Linked DNA regions of Bombyx mori. The protein of the gene in region 1 interacts with the protein of each later gene in a pairwise test. Links are inferred from orthologs where the notes say so. Each region holds a gene or a part of one and is shown in the gene's direction. Other genes may lie near its edges.

The links.
Region 2: the proteins of Golgi to ER traffic protein 4 homolog (region 1) and ATPase ASNA1 homolog interact in binary tests that used the Homo sapiens proteins (3 or more experiments, as listed by UniProt). The link is inferred for Bombyx mori from reciprocal best matches to the Homo sapiens genes GET4 and GET3.

The regions. Positions count from the first base shown.
Region 1 is NC_085123.1:7,282,673-7,288,712, forward strand, and holds the end of Golgi to ER traffic protein 4 homolog, read left to right. Parts: intron 1-1,367; coding exon 1,368-1,678; intron 1,679-2,975; coding exon 2,976-3,219; 3' UTR 3,220-3,710; downstream 3,711-6,040. UniProt on the Homo sapiens protein: As part of a cytosolic protein quality control complex, the BAG6/BAT3 complex, maintains misfolded and hydrophobic patches-containing proteins in a soluble state and participates in their proper delivery to the endoplasmic reticulum or alternatively can promote their sorting to the proteasome where they undergo degradation.
Region 2 is NC_085125.1:5,276,552-5,283,464, reverse strand, and holds the start of ATPase ASNA1 homolog, read left to right. Parts: upstream 1-3,220; 5' UTR 3,221-3,433; intron 3,434-3,642; coding exon of another isoform or gene 3,643-3,742; intron 3,743-6,159; coding exon of another isoform or gene 6,160-6,293; intron 6,294-6,913. Other genes in the region: dynein intermediate chain 2, ciliary, read left to right, coding at 246-355, 993-1,170, 1,980-2,208, 3,643-3,742, 6,160-6,293.

The DNA.
Region 1 (6,040 bases):
GATTTAGTGAAATCGAAAGCGAAGATTAGTTGGAAGACTTGATGAAGGGTGCAATGTCACAGAAGCATTTGATTTCTGGATAGAATACATGTTAGGGCATTGCCAAAGGTCACTGTGAAAATGTACCTGAGTTGCTGGTAAGAAGTGGTACAAAAAGTACAGAGCACTGTTGGTTAAAAGGCAATACACCTATGCCAAGATGAATTGGACTACGTGTATGGGAACTCTACACCATAATTAACTAATGAAATTTTGGGCCACTGAGTTTAAATGAATGATAATTGATTTCCATGAAAGCTTGGGACATGATGCACATTGGGGACATCCAAAAAGAGCAACTATTGACAATAACATCCCTAAAATCATCAAATGGTGCTAGACAACCCCTGAATTAAAGTGAGAGAACATAGATAGTAGAGGCTATGAAAATGTCCATATGTTTTGTTCATATGAATTAGTGATGAGAAAAATAGCTGTCTGCACGTTGAGTGTCATGTATGGTCACAAAAACAAAAAAACGTGTTTGAATGTTTCCAATTCTGTTGGTGCAGTTTAGGTTTAGCAATAAATCAGAGTTTTGGTGCCAATTAATTTACTATAGATGAAACATGGATATACCATTATACATCCGAAAAACAGTGGACTGCAAAGGGGGAACCAGCTAAAAAAAAGTAAAAATTATTTTTTCCGTTGGGAAAGTGATGGTGACCGTTTTTTGGGATAGTCATAGAGTTATCTTAATCAATTTCATTAAAAAATTAAAACCATTACAGGAGCGTACTACGCATCAATACTTGACAAATAAAAAATAAAAAAAATGGTCATTTGTGCAGAAAAAGAAAATCCTATGGTGAAGACAACATGCCGTCTCAGACCTCCGTGGTTACCATAGCAAAAATCCACGAATTGCACTTTGAACTGCTGACCATCCTTATCTTGACTTTACTCAGCAAATCTAGCTCCAAGTTACTTCTTTTTGTTTCCTCATCAAAAAATTGCGCTCGGAGGACAGTTTTTTGTTATAATTATGTGGAGACAATTAATTACCTTCATGAATAATTATTTTATAGAGAAAAACGGCGTCTATTGTTTGGAAAGGATAGAGATATGCGAGCATCATTGGATGAAGAATTACAAGGCGACTTGTTGAGGCGAATATGAAAAAAAATAAAAACAAACATAAAAAAAGTCTTGTATCTGTGTTAGGTCGGAAAGTTTTCAGACCCCACTCATAAAAAACCTAAACCTTTGAATTTGTTAAAAGTGTTTATATATTTATTAGTCTAGAAAAATATTATGTGTTTATGAATTGCTAAAGATCATAGAATTAATTTTAACTAACGGACGCAAATTGTAATTGATTTTAGAAAATAGCAGAAGTATTTTGGAAGGAAAAAAAGTACACAGCTGCTCATAGACACTTTTTACACTCATCGGATGGTTCAGCATATGCTAACATGCTTATAGAGTTACACACAACTAAAGGTCTCAAATCAGAAATAGATTTGTTCATAGCACAAGCTGTGTTGCAAATACTTTGTTTGAGAAATGTAAGAATGGCAACTGAAACATTTTTGAGGTATACAGAAACACATCCCAAAATTAAGAATAGCAAAGGACCTCCATATATATTCCCACTATTGAATTTTTTGTGGTTCTTGCTGAGAGCTGTCGAACAGTAAGTTAATTTTCTTTTTATGTCATCCATAAACAGAATCTTATACATTGTGCTTAGTACGAGTTTTTTAACGTTCCCCATAGCGTAAAAGCTAACTCAAATTTGTATGGAATTGGAGCGTTTGCCTATATTTGCCGCTAGGGGCGCTGTTCCAACTGCATACAAATTTGAGTTAACTTTTACGCTATCGAGACGGTAAAAAACTTGCACTAAGCACACTGATATATGTAAGATAACTATTTCTGAAAACTTTTTGACTAAATAGAAATTTAATTATGATTTTGCACAGGAACGTAAAGTAAAAGTAAAAATCATATTATAATGCATGATGTCTATGTTTATGAATTCTGCGGGGGTTTCCACCATCTGCCTTTCCTTCTGATTGCAGGTTTATCACCTAGTATTATGTAAAAAAACGATTAGGGGGCGTCCATTAATTACGTGAGGTGTTCTAGGGGAGATGGGATCAAACTAAATCTCAATTAGGATGGAGGAGGGGGTCTTAGCGAATATCTCACTTTTTAGCAGAAAACGGTGTAAAATTGCCTGAACAATTATTTTTAGAATAAAATATGGCCAAATCAGACACCGATTTTTTTCTACCTGACACAATAGCGTTTCTCGTATTCGTCAGAACCTCACAGAGCAGGAAAGTACCGCTCGATTGTGCACTGTCGACCAGCTGTATTGACACGTGCGACTCGACGAACGCTATTTAATTTTATGATTGTTATGTTAAATTACGGTAATATTCACAAATGCTAGTCTTTGTTAGTCTTCAATGAAAGTAATAGAACAAGTAGCTATTTTTTTTCTCAATCCTATACATTTACAGCCAAAACATAAGTTTTGAAGAATCTCGTGTAAGATTAGGGGTGAGGGGAGGGAGTGGAGGAAAATCTTATGAAGTCTCACCAAGGTGGGAGGGAGGGTCGAAAGATTCACAAAACTACCTCACGTGATTAATGGACGTCCCTTTAGTAATATAGGTAGGCTATATAAAATAGTAATAATTTTATATCTATTACATTACAAAATAGCACAATTCAATTCATTTATTTGCAGATAACCTTAAAAATTAAATAATAAATCCAAGAATTCTTTGTTCACGATAGATCTTATAAAATTATATCTTGAAACAAAAAAATGATTTTATCGTGGTAAACAATTTTTTTGAAGAATTTGGTGAATTTCATAATATATTTAGCCAGTCAAAATAGCAAAATACGACTAGAAATATTAAGTATTTTAAGTTAAATAATCAATACAGTTTTTTTTAATATGTATTTAATTTCAGGAGACATGTACGACAGTTTATGGTACTAAAGAATTGGTATGCAATTAGCATTAAAAGGGATCCAAACTACTCCATTTTTTTAGACAATATAGGCCGCATTTGGTTTGGAATAGAAATACCTTCGGAAAATAGAAATCCAAACTCTATGTTCGGAGGTCTAATAAAATCTATTATTGGTGATATAGATAGTTCTGATGATGATGGTGAAAGCAAGACGTCGGCCACAGCTCCTGATTTGGACTAAGCTCTTAATTAACAGATTAATTATATTATTTTTTTACTGACATATCAGCTCAGTCAACCTTTGATAATATATTTTTATTAATTTCTAATATAATTTTGTAATTTCATAAGAAAGCTCTTTTATATTATTTTAAACTTAACTTGGAATTATTACCATTGATTTAAGAAATGGACTGTGTTTGTCATTTTATTTTTAATTAAGATGCCAATTAATTTTAATATTAATGGGGAAATTTCATAATCATTTAAGAATTTTGGTTGAGCTGCAGTAATCATGTTAGGAATAAAAAGTTGTAAAGGGTATGAAAAAAATTAAAAGTTTTGTGGTGTACCTATGTCAAGAGTGCAGTAATGTTTTAGCAACATAATTAAATTTATGGTGAATATAATTACATGTTTAGGATTTCAAATTGTTTTTCATAACGTTGCTTTTTAATTAAGTAATATATTTTGAACAGTGTTGTAAAATTAAATTTTAGATGTTGTTATGAAGTTTTATTCACATTAATTGGAATTATATTTCACAAAGTACCCACATCTCCACAATCGATATAGGTAATGTTTACTCCTGATTATGTGGGTCCGTGAGAGAAGAGGTCTCTCTTCCTAGTGGTTTCCTTCCCTATCTCTTGCTAGGTGAAGGTAGATTCATAAGGGCCGAGTCACACCGGAATAGCAGCGTCCGACATCAGCTGGCGGCGATGCCAGCGGCCTCCGGCGTCGCCGCTGGCGGCCTCGCGCGGCCTCCAGACTGCATGCGCCTAGTCTCCTCTTGACTAGATTAGTTTCTTCATTCGGCAATGATCGTGTAATAAAAATGAAACCCGCAAAATTATAATTTGTGTAAATTACTGGTGGTAGGACCTCTTGTGAGCCCGCGCAGGTAAGTACCACCGCCCTGCCTATTTCTGCCGTGAAGCAGTAATGCGTTTCGGTTTGAAGGGTGGGGCAGCCATTGTAACTATATTTGAGACCTTAGAACTTATATCTCAAGGTGGGTGGCGCATTTAGGTTGTGGATGTCTATGGGGTCCAGTAACCACTTAACACCAGGTGGACTGCGAGCTCGTCCACCCATATAAACAATAAAAAAAAAAAAAACGTATGTTTAGAGTGAACATGATGGAATTGGTTATTATATATGACCGCGGTGCCGCGAGCGGCCTCGTGTCGCCGCTAGCAGCCGCGGGCAGAACCACAGACAAGACGGACGTGGCGCGCGGCTGTGTCGCGACCTTTTGGAGCTTTGCAAGCGATACTGGTCTTATAAGTATATATAGATAAAGTTGGATGGGTTGACCAACTCAAGGAGGTGACTGGAGGCCAGATATGGGGAGCAGTACATATGGCGCAGAACCGGACCGAGTGGAGAAGATTGACATACAGTCACGATCCTCAGCATTGAGGGAACGACCAGAAAGAAGATAAAGTTTAAAATTATTTCACACGGAAAGTGCTCGCCGCGACGTTGCCATTCCGGTGTGACTCGGCCCTAACACCGGTCACTCACATGCGAACGAATACGCAAACCCGCAAGTGTAGGACGACATTTGCAAATGATTATGCAAAGTTTTCGCTGCATTCGTGGTTTTCCAAGGTGTGTCGGTTTTTTAACAGACATTAAAGCGCGCGAACCGCGATCCTTCGCGTAGTCTCCTACACATTCGTTTGCCCAGTTGCGCCAACGATTGCGAAGGTAACGGACGTATCGCCATTTTCATAGTTCGTGACGTCTACTGTGTAGCGTAACTTCATCAAAAGAAATCCCATAAAAACAGCATGAGTGGAGCATGTGAGTGGCCGGCATAAAAGTCGCATGTGAGTGGCCGGCATAAAAGTCGATTAAAGACTTTCATGACTATCTCTGACTATAATGATAGTTGTGCATCATGTTTATGGTCGTCGAGGGTGGCCACATATATTATTCATTTAGAGTATTTTCATGCGTTAATGAGTATAGACTAATGCCGGCCTAGCGGCTGTGCAAATGGGTTCGCATACTCAATTTGCGAACCCGTTTGCGCTTCCTCCTACACTTGTTTACGAATGTCTCACGAATTTCTCCTTTTTAATTCGTCAATAGAACATTGAAGAGAAAAAGTTTTTAATTCTTTCCCAGACATCATTAACAGCCATGCTGTTTTTATGGGATTTCTTTTGATGAAGATACGCTACACAGTAGACGTCACGAACTATGAAAATGGCGTATAGTATACGTCCGTTACCTTCGCAATCGTCGGCGCAACTGGGCAAGCGAATGTGTGGGAGACTACGTGAAGGTTCGAGGTTCGCGCGCTTTGATGTCTGTTAAACCGACACAGCTTGGAAAACCACGAATGCAGCGAAAACTTTGCATAATCATTCGCAAATGTCGTCCTACACTTGTGGGTTGCGTATTCGTGCGCATGTGAGTGACCGGTGTAAGTATGGGTTTCCTTCCCTATCCTTTACTAGGTGAAGATAGATTCACAAAAGTCGATTGTAGACTTCCATGACTATCTCTGTCTATAATGATAGGTGTGCATCATGTTTGTGTTTGTCGACGATGGCAACATATATTATTCTTTTAGAGTATTTTCATGCGTTAATTTCCCAGAATATAGCACACATGGTAATTTTCTATCCGATCGTTGGTAGCCTAAGTGCCTATTCCAACTATGCGCGGGTTTTTTTAGGTGAGCTCATGGGGCTCAACCTGGGAGGACTTGCTAACACTAGCTCTAGCAAGAGTAGTACTAGTAGTAGTAGTAGTGCTTCACTGAATCTACCTCGCCAAGGTTTCAAACGATCCATGAAATCAAAAACTTTGAAAAAAAAAGAGCT
Region 2 (6,913 bases), on another chromosome or scaffold:
GGTGGTGTCACCTTTTTTCTAATCATCGAATCACTCAACACATTACTTGAACACCTCAATAGTATGCCGACCATCACACCGTTCAGGATAGAAAGTATGAATGCTTCGAGGCAGATATAAAAAGGATGGGGTATCACAATATAACATAGTATAGTATACTGCAATACGATATACAATATACTATACAATTGGAATAATATATCGAATAGATCTTCCTTGAATCTCATCGAATATTTTCTTAACAGGACTTTACGATGGAAACGTTTGCGTCTACAATGCTCAGTTAACCCTCGAGTCATCTTACCAATACAAATCGGATTCTGTACGAGATAAGCACAGCAACATCGTCTGGGAGGTACCTACGCGTTAAAATCGCGTTAATAGATAGCACTTAACGTTTTTATTAAAAGGTTAAAAGCTCAAAACAACAAAAAGAAAATCTACTTCAACATTATAAAAAGAGAACATTATTAATATCGTCGAATTCGAAGAAATATGCATTATAAAGAATAATTCAAAAGGTACCGGTCAGATCATGATAACGTTTAATTAGAAGCATCAGCTTTCATGTAAAAAAATCGTCAAAATCGGTTCACCTAGTAAAAAGTTCTAAAGCAAACATAGAAAAATATAGTACTATTGCGAACTGTATCTATTAATGTAGTTTCTTTTTTATTGCTAATACTTTATATAAATTTTATCATAATAAACAGTTAAGCAATTGCAAAAATTAAAATCTTAAATTTTTTACAATGTACCTCCAACTTAAAACAACATCTAAAATCATTCGTAGAAATAATAACATAGGCGAACGATTTGGGTGGTATATTTTTGCTACATAGAACCATTATGAAAATCTGTCAACGTATAAAATTTAAAAAATTCAAGAAAAAGCCAAAAAAATACACAATTAGACTTTTATAGTGTGGAGATTAGATTGCAAAACTATTTCTGATTACGATACTAAATCGGAATTCAAATCGATTGTTCAGGTGCGTTGGGGAGCACGTTTGATTGATGGTGAATCGACATTTTTCTCGATCTCCGGCGACGGACGCGTCGTCCAATGGGCGGTGATGCCGGGCGAGCTCCAAGCGACCACTATCATCACGCTCACGTCCAACGTGCCTCCCATACCGGGACCTGACGGCACCATGATCAACGTTAACAGTAAGCCGTGTCACTTTAAATCGATTTAATAGCCTTACAAACTTACATTTGGATACAATTGGTATTCAACGTTTATTTATTTATTGCTTAGCTGGGTGGATGAGCTCACAGCCCACCTGTTGTGAAGTGCATACTGGAGCCCACCCACCACCACTACCACCCACCTTGAGATATGTTCTAAGGTTTCAATTATAGTTACAACGGCCCCACCCTTCGAACCGAAACGCATTACTGCTTCATGGCTTCATCATCTAATGCCTATGCAGAAATAGGCAGGGTGGTGGTACCTACCCGCACGGACTCACAAGAGGTCCTACCACCAATAATTATGCAAATTATAATTTTGCGGGTTTGATTTTTATTACATCATGTTATTCCTTCACCGTGGAAGTCAATCGTGAACATTTGTTGAGTACGTATTTCATTAGAAAAATTGGTACCCGCCTGGGATTCTAACACCAATATATCGCTCAACACGAATGCATCGGACATCTTATCCTTTAGACCACGACAACTTCTTTAGGCCACGACGACTTCTCACAACTTTTATACCTTACCTTCAGAGACAAATGCTTCATCTAATGGCGAATAATCACTGCTACTCGTGGGCTCATCAGTAATGACAGGGTTATAACCAAGTTACTATTTACCAATAGGACCCGTTCGGACAACAAATTCATTGCGCCTAGAAGGACTCTAATATTTAAGCCAGTTAAGTTTGTACGTCTCTTTGTCTCAAAACCGTTGGTATTTTTCATTCTATCGATTATCATACCATTTAAAGGAGACATTTACTAATTCCCACCCAGGCTGCGGTAGCTGCATATGTTTTCACCCAGAGAAGCCGGATATCTTCATGGTGGGTACCGAAGACGGCATGATCCACACTTGCTCCCTCAAATACAACCGGAACTATGTGCGATCGGTTCAAGGACACCACATGCCGGTCTACAGGATCAACTATAACTACTTTAATAACAGTATCTATGCGTCATGCTCGGGTGACTGGAGGGTCAAAATTTGGGAAGACGGAAGAGAGTGAGTGTATTTGGAAATATGGTTTCTAACCATTGCTATGTAATAGAATGAATTAGATTAGTTTTTAATACGCTCTTATTAGCTTCAGACGTATGTATGTATGTATGTAGGTATGTATATTTGTAACGGAACTTTGAACATGATTTTGACCCCCTTCAAAACGTCGGATTAACTCAAAATTTGGTATACTTATTAAGGACCGATGACAATACAATATTACAAAAAAATTTAAAAATAAAATTTGAAAAAACTGAAAAATTCAACTAAAAATGAAATAATAGTTTAAAAAAACTAACAAAATACGCTTTTATAGAAAATCCAACTAAAAAATTGAAAATAAATTTGAATTAAAAATAGTCTAAGAAAAAATGATTTTATTGTAAAAAAAAGCGTGGGGTTCATGGTGTAAGTACTTATAAATATTCTATGAATAATATTATACTATTTTTAATTCAAATTTATTTTCTATTTTTTAATTGTGTTCGCGCGACAGCGCGACGTTCATAAATGTTCGGCTCAACTCGGGTGCCGTCGCCCGTACGCACCCCGCACCTCTCATAACAGTGCGGTACATGACGGCACGCGGAGATACGCTCGTTCGATATTGAGAAAATTGTGCGCGCGCGCCTTTCGTTGCTAAGTAAAAGGTTGAGTGTGAACCGGTGAAAGGGTGTATGTGCCACCCATCGCAGAGGAACACCACTACGACCGTGATAATGCCAGCATCAGCCTCCAAGTAAGTCCCGTTTTCCTACCTACCCTTTCGTGTCCGCTCATTCTCCGCAGAGTTCATATGCCCCCTTTCAGCTCATCAGCTCACGTTTAAGGTGACGCTCACCTGCGTCACCAAATTGGATTTTCTATAAAAGTAAAAAAAAGCGTGGGGTTCATGGTGTAAGTACTTATAAATATTCTATGAATAATATTATACTATTTTTAATTCAAATTTATTTTCTATTTTTTAATTGTGTTCGCGCGACAGCGCGACGTTCATAAATGTTCGGCTCAACTCGGGTGCCGTCGCCCGTACGCACCCCGCACCTCTCATAACAGTGCGGTACATGACGGCACGCGGAGATACGCTCGTTCGATATTGAGAAAATTGTGCGCGCGCGCCTTTCGTTGCTAAGTAAAAGGTTGAGTGTGAACCGGTGAAAGGGTGTATGTGCCACCCATCGCAGAGGAACACCACTACGACCGTGATAATGCCAGCATCAGCCTCCAAGTAAGTCCCGTTTTCCTACCTACCCTTTCGTGTCCGCTCATTCTCCGCAGAGTTCATATGCCCCCTTTCAGCTCATCAGCTCACGTTTAAGGTGACGCTCACCTGCGTCACCAAATTGGATTTTCTATAAAAGCGTATTTTGTTCGTTTTTTTAAACTATTACATTACGCTGAAATAGTTGTGCAGTATTGTTGTGTTTTTGTTAATAGGGAGCCGTTGTTTATGTTTGAACTGGGCGCGGCGGTGGGCGACGTAAAATGGGCACCGTATTCAAGCACTGTGTTTGCCGCTTGCACGGCTGATGGAAAGGTATATTTAATTTATTATCCTCCTCCTCGTGTCGTTTTCCTCATTACTGAGGGTCGTGACTCCCCCGCTGCATCAGTTTCTCCCGTACCATTTCCCTCCATCTGCTGCGATCCTTAGCTTTTTTTGTTTTTTATTGCTTAGATGGGTGGACGAGCTCACAGCCCACCTGGTGTTAAGTGATTACTGGAGCCCATAAACATCTATAACGTGAATGCTCCACCCACCTTGAGATATGAATTCTAAGGTCTCAGTATAGTTACAACGGCTGCCCCACCCTTCAAACCGAAACACATTACTGCTTCACGGCAGAAATAGGCAGGGTGGTGGTACCGACCCGTGCGGACTCACAAGAGGTACTACCACCAGTAAAAAGCCCTTCATGAAGCTTATTTGTAATATTCCCTAACTAATCTTTGGTAGCCTAAGGGGCTATTCGAACTATGCACGAACGGATAGGTGAGCTCACGGGGCTCAACCTGAGAGGACTTGTTAACTAACTAACAATGTATAGAATAATGATGAGTGTTCTCTAAACGCAATTATCGAAATTCGACCTTAATCACTAATGCTTCAAAACTTAAATTCATTTTGTGCAGTACGTCTTATCTGGTGTTTTGTTATAAATTTTTGAAGTAAAAAAATTGTTTTCAATTATTACTTTTGTGTAGATAAAACTAAATCCAATCTACAGATAGGCATCGGTTGACAGAGATTTCTTTTTAAGATTTGAATTACCAAATGATATATAAAAGTAAATGTGTGTATGTATTTGCTCTAATGACTGCGTAACGGCTGGATAGATTTAGATGAACTTTTCAAGAAATCTTTAGATTGGGCAAGCGGATGATACTATGAAGCTTAATCAGCTGATCTGCTCAAATTTAAACCAAAGATCGTCAAGCTAATCGGGCCGGGTTTGACTAGTGACCTGTACAAATGCTGACTGAATGTTTATTCAAGTACCTTCAAGCACCGGTTACCGTCCTCGTCAATTACGACGAGCTTAGAGTGAATTGGAATTAATAGAGTGCGATGAGCGAACTACGATAGTTCTATGAGATACAATTTAGTTTTAAAAAAAAAAGGAGTATCAGAATCGGTTCAAGCATGCTTGAGAAATCGGTGGACATACATAGATAAAAAATTGTGGTCGAATTGAAAACTTCCTCTTTTGAAGTTGGTTAAAAAGCGTGATTTTTGTACCTTAAATAGCTCCTTAACATTCTATTATTCAAAAATATTTTCACTCTCTACGTAAATGAGGAGGCGGGTAAAATTTAGCGTTATGCCAAAATAACTATTCCACGCGGACGAAGTCGCAGGAAAAAGCTAATAACTTGATACAGCTAATTGAGAAAACACTCGCTTGAGAAAAGGTTTCTGCCAGTAATTATGGTAGGTGGCACAAGCGTATAGTTTCAAGAAATTGGTGCATACAATTTATTTAAATATAGTCAATTTTGACTAGTTTGAAATAACTGTAAAACCTTTTTACTAACTTAAATTTAGTTTTTGTACAAAAAAGTTATTTTGGGGTCGTTATTTTTTTATTAGTAGATCCGACATAAGTAGCCACATTGGTTTACATGTTTATGCTAACATTGGTAATTTCGGAATTGTTAATGCTAAACAGTGATAACACAATAAATGCTAATTGAATATTAAAACTAAGTTGCTAAACGTGAAAAAAAGATTTGCACAATTACAGAAGTTAAATGAGCCTCTCAAAATAGTAAACAGACGAATATGGCACGTGTAGCTCTTTATTTAAGAGTCATCTATCAGTAGTATCGAGGGGCTATTCTGGCTCCACGTTGACTGGTGAGCCATTTCAGGGGGCTCTGTCTGAAAAAAAATTGCTTACATCTGTCCTAGCAAGCGTAGTGCTTCGCAGTATCTGTCATCGGATCGAAATCGCTTCATTCGCGAGTAGATTCATTCGCGAAGCAACTGCTCTTGAGTTCTAGGTCCCCTTCGCAGGCGCTCGGGCAGCTGTTAGCAAATCCCACCCCTCCTGGCTGACCCTTTGCTCGCCCACCGGTCCTGGTGAAACTGGAAAGACCTCAGGGCCACCAGTAATCGTTCACTCATAAAAAAAAACTACTCGACTTTGTGTTTTTAACAAGTATATTATTAACTATATCGTGAAGATTTTTGTTTTTTATTACATTTCAGCAATACCGTTTTCACTGACCAAGTTTATATTTTATATAATATTAATTCAATTGCTTTCCTTTGAATTGTAAATCACTTTATAACGTAAAAATTTAAAAGACTGCCCAGTTTTATTTAGCAGTGGGCATGTCGTAGCTGTTAAGGGCAATTTATCAATAAGACGATTTCAAATTGCCGTCAAAGATAATTCCGCATTCCGCAAGCCAAATGCAACAACGTTAATATTGAATGATACAAAACAGGTTTACGTGTACGATTTGAACGTGAACAAGTACAGGCCTATATGCGTCCAAGCTGTTGTCTCCAAAAAGACTAAGAAGTTGACAAGAATCGATTTCAACACGCGTTTGCCTGTGATCGTATGTGGCGACACAAAGTACGTATCAATGTTCATATATTTTACCTAAGACTTTTTTTTTCTACTGCTTCGATGGGTGGACGAGCTCACAGCCCACCTGGTGTTAAGTGGTTACTGGAGCCCATAGGCATCTACAACGTAAATGAGCCACTCACTTTGATATGAGTTCTAAGGTCTCAGTTTTTTAAATACAACGGCTGCCCTACCCTTTAAACCGAAACGCATTACTGCTTCACGGCAGAAATAGGCTGAGTGGTGGTACCTACCTACCTTGACATATGTTTTAAGGTCTCAAGTATAGTTACAACGGTTGCCCCACCCTTCAAACCGAAACGCGTTACTGCTTCACGGCACAAATAGGCATGTTATATGTGCATAGAGGCAGGCCGGGTGCAGAGTGCAGGCCGTTATATGTGCATAGAAACTATTACCAGCCGACTGCATAATGCCAGGCCTTGTATTGCCTTAGATATATTGGTGAAGTTTTCTCGGTACGTCTCGTTTCCATCTTTACGTTAAGTCGATTAAGTAGTTAGAATATGTCATTTGAAATCGACATTAAAGACGCCTTTATTAAAATTCATTTTAAATATCCTCAACGGCACCTCAACAATTCTTCTGTAATGGCTGAGTAAATA